2 linked regions of the Cricetulus griseus genome follow. The protein of the gene in region 1 interacts with the protein of each later gene in a pairwise test. Links are inferred from orthologs where the notes say so. Each region holds a gene or a part of one and is shown in the gene's direction. Other genes may lie near its edges.

Region 1 (3,756 bases):
CCTGGACCCATACAGAAGAAGGAGAGAAGGGATTCCTGTAAATTGTTCTCAGACCTGAACATGAGTGCTGTAGTACATGTATGCCTATGCACATATTTAAACACAGATACACACATTTAATTTAGAAAATATAAAGAGAAACCTTCCAATTCATTATCTTTGTTTAGTAATTAGTAAGTAACTGATACTAGTCTTACCAAGTGGTAATATGCCAGCATTCCCATCACTGAGAAGGCAGAGGCTGAGGGATTTTAAGTTTGAGGCCAGCCAGTGGTCCAGTGAGACCTTGTCTCAAACAAAACAAAGCAACAATAAGCAAAACCCCTTCCCCTCCTAAATCTTAAACAAATCTAGAGGAAAATTCCTGTATGTTTTATTTAGGTCAAATAAAAATGCCAGGTAATTTTGAGTTCACAAATAGCATTCCCTTAATTATTTTAACTATATTCTTATCTATTCTAAACTTTTTGTTTACTAGATTCTGTCTATTGTACCAGGCAAACCCACATTTCTTTTATGGAAAGACAGTGGTTTTCCTCAACAGCTCTGTGGATTCTGCTTCCTTTTAGTTTAAAGCAGAGAGGCTAACAAGCTAGCAACAAGCCTAAGCATTTATTTTTCCTCATAAACGCTAATGCAATTAAATCAAAACAATGAAATTGAGAGTTTGCCTGAGATATTTCCTACCATCCCAATCAACAGTCCTGTTTCTGGGATTTCTCTCTCCTTCCTTCCTGGCTTCCATTGGGAAATGCTTTGGGGAAGAAAGCAAGAAACCAAACAGCAGCAGGCAAATAAAGTAAGCTCTTTTCCGTTTACCCACCCTGATAGGTAGGGGAAGGGAGCAAGACCCTCATCAAAGAGAACTGAGGCTTAGGCGTGCCGTTCTAAAAAAGCTTTGTTATCTAGCACCTCCCACCTCCCCCTGAGCTCTGCAGTAATTCCTTGGAGATTGTATAGTCTCCGCTTTAAATATAAATATATATATAATACATATATTTAAAACTTCCTTGTCTTTCTCTCTCTCTTTTTTTTAATTTCCTATAATAAAGTTTCCTATTGGATAAGGTCAGCTCCCTGATTTATGCCTGGCTCCTATTGGAAGCTCGCAGGGGCTGACATCACTTAGGAAAGCTAGGGTAGGGCTGCCAGATCAGTTTGTCACCACCCAGGCTCCCTTGCCTTTGGCTGGGTGCAACTTCCATTTTAGGTGTTGGATCTGAGGGGAAAGAGAGAGAGAGAGAGAGAGAGAGAGAGAGAGAGAGAGAGAGAGAGAGAGAGAGAACAGGAGGACGGGAGGGAGACAGAGACAGACACGGAGGGAGAGGGAAAGAGGCAGGAAAGATCCTGAAAGAGGAAGAGGAAGAGGTGGCCTGAACCTCGCTGGATTGTCTTTCACAGCACACCGGTGAAGCTTTGGGTTTGTGTCTTAAAGGATTGGCTTTAGAAGTCCACATTTGAGGTGTGTGTTCTTTTCATTTTTTCCTTTTATAAAAATGTGTGTATAACTAGTTGGGAAAAGGATAACCCAAGTAGAATTTTTGTCTTAATGGTAACTGGAGGGAATTTAAAAAAAGGCAAGAGAGCCTGTTAAAGCTGACGGTGAATTTTAGCCAGTTATTTTTTCTACTTTTAATGCTTTGGATGTATTTTGGTATTTTATTTATGTTAAGGAAAAGGTAAATGTACTGGACCTAATACCGGAAGCTGGTTTAGAACCGGGAGGTAGAAGTTGTGTAAATTACATTTTTGTGTGTACTTTTATTTCATTTTATTTTATTTTTCTGAATTAAGCTAACATACTTCTGTTTTCAGAGCTCAAAAAGTTGTTTTCTTGGCATGTTGTGTGTGGGTTGGGAAAGGAATTTGTCCTGGTCAGGAGAAAGTTGTATAGATGGCTCTTACCATGTTTCAAAACTTTCAGCCCCCTCACCTTTGAATCTGTGGCAGTAGAAAGTTGCAGGGAGCTTTAGAGCTTAAATAGTATTCATTGTTTTTTTCCTCCTGAGTTCGAACGGCCCAGATGCTTTTCAGCTCTGCTCTTCCTGGGTGGATCCCTTACTTTTCCAGGTGAGGTGGGTGGGAGGGAGCCTAGCCTGTTAGTAGGAACCCCTTTGCTTTGCCTTGAAAAACAAATGGATCTATGTTAACTGAATTGCCACCACTTTTTTTGTTTTTAAGCCTAAAAATACTTTTGATGGCAGAGATTTGTGAAGGTGTCGTGTGTTAGACCTGCAAATATGATAATGTTGGTGCTTTAAGGGGTAAGGAATTCTAACCATGCTTTCTGTTGACCAGAGGAAAGCGGCAGAACACCTGAGAGTCTTTTCAGCCCTCTTGGTTTCCAAAAGGGCTGTAGGTTGTGAATGATCAGACGAAAGGGAACCACTTAATGAAAACTTGAGTTTGCAAACCCATTTGAGAAAGCACAAAGGGAATTTTATTTCTAAGCCAGTGGAAAGGTGATTTTTACAGTTGTCTTTTGTTTGTTTGGTTGGTTAACTTACCATTAAGTTAGAATCTGTTAGAGATAAAGGCCTATGACTGCTTCATGTTTTATAATTGGCCTTAAGATTTGTTTGGTTTTGCTTTTTGTACATACGTTCTTGCAAATGTGCTGATCCCAGATAATTATATAGCCTACTCATCAGTAGCTGCAAAATATGGTATTCTTTTAAAATGGGATTCAGTATGGAAATTTGGGCTGGTATAGATATTGCTCTAATTGTAGCAAGATGAGTCTTAATGTGTAAGCTGCTCATTACCTTTAAATTGATACGAATCTTCTGATTTCATAGTCCCTGCCCCCATTCTTTTTAGACTGGAATACTTCCTTGATTTTTTTCTACAGTGAAGACATTCCTTGCAAGATGATTTTGTCCTTGTGAGGTTTGTGGCTTATGGAGGAAACAACTTTTGTTCCCCTTTTCATATAGTTTAGGTGAGGGTTACAGGAAAAGATTTGACATCTAGACTTCAGAATTAAAAGAAGTAGTTGAAAAGAAAGAAAGAAGACAATGTGTACAGTCAGTTGGACCGTATTTCTCATTTCCAGTTCTTTAGTTTTCCTTTGAAATGCTTTTCTCGGGAGGTTTCTTGGTGGGGTCTTTGGAGGGTTGGTCTGTTGCTGCCAGAGTGTCGGTTTCTCGCTCAACCTTTAGGGGGAGGGATGAGAGTCTGAAGGAGGAGTACAAAGGCAGTTTGAAAATAGGTTCTGGATGACTGGTGGTGATCTGGGTCCGGCTTTGAAACTGGGCTTTGTGTAGCTAGGTTCAACAGCATTAGAAGCCAGGACTATTTTTACAAATTAAAGCATTGTTTGGCCTTCGGTGTAATTAATATAGAGCCTTTTGAGGTGATAAGATGGAAGATTTTTATCTTTTACTTCACCTCTGCTGGTTCTTTGAGGAATTATAGGAAAGGGTACAGATAAGTAATCTTCTATTTTGCTATTATTACTATTTGCTGTGCTTTGTATTTTGATTTTGGGGTGAAAATGATGACAGATGAGTATGAATAGTACAGATTTTCTTTCCTTGTTTGCTTTGTATATAATTTGCTTAGTTTCTTTGTTATGTGAGTGAGGTAGTGGTCTGTTTCAGGTGTGTGTGTGAGGCGTCTCATGGCTGGTTATAGTTCCAGTGCCTTTCTTAGGATTGCAGTATGAACAGCCAGAGGGGTCAGAACATGTTCTGTGTTGGTCTAAAATTGGGACTCTTGGAGATTTATTAAAAAAAAAAAAAAGAAAGAAAGAAA
Region 2 (2,743 bases), on another chromosome or scaffold:
CATGCCCATTATAACAGAGTCTTTTTCATTATCTGCTGAAGATTATGAAATGAAAAAGATCATTGTTACTGACTCGGATGATGATGATGATGTCATTTTCTGCTCTGAGATTTTGCCTGAAAAGGAGAATTTGCCAAGTAACAACACAGTGACGCAGGTCCAGCCTACCCCAGCCCCTGTTGCTATTTCAGAAGTGACACCTTGTGCTAGCAATAACTCCCCCCCTTTAACAGACATCACACCTGCTCAGACACTTCCCACTCCTGTAAATCAGGCAACTCTTAGCCAACCACAACGAAGTGAAGAATTGCTGGTGTCTTCAGCTTCAACACATCTGACTCCTAACATTATTTTATTAAATCAGGCTCCACTTACCACAGCACCAAGTGTCAGCTCTTCACTTCCAAATCACATGTCCTCTTCCATCAATTTGCTTGTACAGAATCAGCCGACACCGATTAATTTACTTGTGCAGAATCAGCAGACACCAAACAATGCTGTTTTAACAGGAAACAAGGCCAATGAGGAAGAAGAGGAAGACATTATAGATGATGATGATGACACCATTAGCTCCAGTCCAGACTCAGCAGTCAGTAATACATCTTTGGTCCCACAGACGGGTACCTCCAAAAGTACCACTTTTGATGGATCGTTGACACAGAAGGTGCACACTCCTGTACTTGTTCAAGAGCAACCTTCCAAGTCTTTGAAAATTTCAGATATCATTACTAGAAACACGAAGGTTCCAGGCTTAGGACCAAAATATCTCACGGAGGGGCAGAAAATCATTACTTTAGATACAGCTACTGAAATTGAAGGCTTATCAACTGGTTGCAAGGTTTATGCAAATATAGGTGAAGATACTTATGACATAGTGATCCCTGTCAAAGATGACCCTGATGAAGGGGAGGCCAAACTTGAGAATGAGCTACCAAAAACATCTGGCAGTGAGCCATCAAACAAGCGCATGAAAGTAAAACATGATGATCACTATGAGTTAATAGTAGATGGAAGGGTCTATTATATCTGTATTGTATGCAAAAGGTCATATGTCTGTCTGACCAGCTTGCGAAGACATTTTAACATTCATTCTTGGGAGAAGAAGTATGCCTGCCGTTACTGTGATAAGGTATTTCCTCTTGCAGAGTATCGCACAAAGCATGAAATTCAACACACGGGGGAGCGAAGGTATCAGTGTTTAGCATGTGGCAAATCTTTCATCAACTATCAGTTTATGTCTTCACACATAAAGTCAGTTCACAGTCAAGATCCTTCTGGGGACTCAAAGCTTTATCGTTTGCATCCATGCAAGTCTTTGCAGATCAGACAGTATGCGTATCTTTCTGATCGATCGAGTGCTGTGCCTGTCATGAAGGATGATGCAATTGGGTATAAGGTTGGTGCTGGAAAAGAGCCTCCAGTAGGGACCACATCTACTCCTCAAAACAAGGCAATGAACTGGGAAGAGATTTTTATTCAGCAGGAAAATGATTCCATGTTTAAACAGAATGTAACAGATGGCAGTACTGAGTTTGAATTTATAATACCAGAATCTTACTGACCTCCTTTGAAATATCAAAGTTTGAGTTGGATTAAGGGGCAGGGATTTCAGAAGACGTGTGAAGCAAATTAAGGTGGAAACTTGTTCATTTGATCTCCCATGTCATCTGAAAGTAGTTTAGTTGCATTGTTAATTTTTAGAAACATTTTTTTCTAAAAGTTGGAGTAGAGATTGAACACCCCCTGAAGTATCTGTATAGTCTAGCTTTCAGCTCATTTAAAAGATGTAACTTTTTAAAGGTACAGAGAGATAGTTTTCTGAATAGAATTTGAAGCAGTCTAAATGTTCTTTGAGAATTACTAATATACCCTAGTACAGCTTATACTGTTCCCCCTTCCATATTAGCACTTTACTGCTGAATTTTCAATTTTCTTAATGTTAAGCCTAAGTGTGTAATGTCTTGTATACAGCATAAAAGTTAGTGAACTTCCAAAACTTGTTCTAGTGAATTTCAGAGTAAGTCCTAACTTGGTGGTTTGTTCTGTCGGTCCAAATGGAGATCAGCCTCCTGCCTCCCTCCCAGTATAAAATAGCCATGCAAACACGTATCTCCTATGAAGGATGAGTTAGTTCTAGCTAAGTGGGATTAACCATTGCTTTCATTGCCATAGTCTGTAAGAGATTTTTGAGGACAAGGCCACTGTATACCCCCCCTTTTTTTGGTTTTTTTTGAGACCAGGTTTCTCTGTATAGCTTTGGAGGCTATATCTTGGAACTGTCTCAGTAGACCAGGCTGGCCTCGAACTCACAGAGATCTGCTTGCCTCTGCCTCCCCAGTGCTGGGATTAAAGGCCTGTGTCACCCCACCCAGCTGCCCCTGTATACCTTCAAAACGACAAGAGTCGTTTTGAGCAAAAAAACAAAAAATGACCTAGCAGGCATGCTTGTAGTGAAAACAGGAGGTAATGCAACAGGAGGTAATGCAAAGTTCTTTTGTGCTTATCTTTAATCTTCTGCTTTTTATGTGGAGATTTTTGAAAATTATGGTTAAAAGTGTTCCCATGAAATGTAAATTTACTATCTGAAAGCCACCAAATGCATCTTTTATTGTACTGGTAAATGTTGAGATTCCATAGATGACACTCATGTATTTTGGGTGGGAGGCTACTGGCATACATTTTTAAAAGCTCACATTAGAATCTCCAGTAGGAAGTTTTCATTTTAAGTAGTTGTAATGGCAAT

The links.
Region 2: the proteins of Ctnnd1 (region 1) and Zbtb33 interact in binary tests that used the Homo sapiens proteins (3 or more experiments, as listed by UniProt). The link is inferred for Cricetulus griseus from reciprocal best matches to the Homo sapiens genes CTNND1 and ZBTB33.

Annotation. Positions count from the first base shown.
Region 1 is NC_048599.1:90,880,185-90,883,940, forward strand, and holds the start of Ctnnd1 (catenin delta-1), read left to right. Parts: upstream 1-1,155; 5' UTR 1,156-1,462; intron 1,463-3,756. UniProt on the Homo sapiens protein: Key regulator of cell-cell adhesion that associates with and regulates the cell adhesion properties of both C-, E- and N-cadherins, being critical for their surface stability.
Region 2 is NC_048604.1:28,860,828-28,863,570, reverse strand, and holds part of Zbtb33 (transcriptional regulator Kaiso), read left to right. Parts: coding exon 1-1,561; 3' UTR 1,562-2,743. UniProt on the Homo sapiens protein: Transcriptional regulator with bimodal DNA-binding specificity.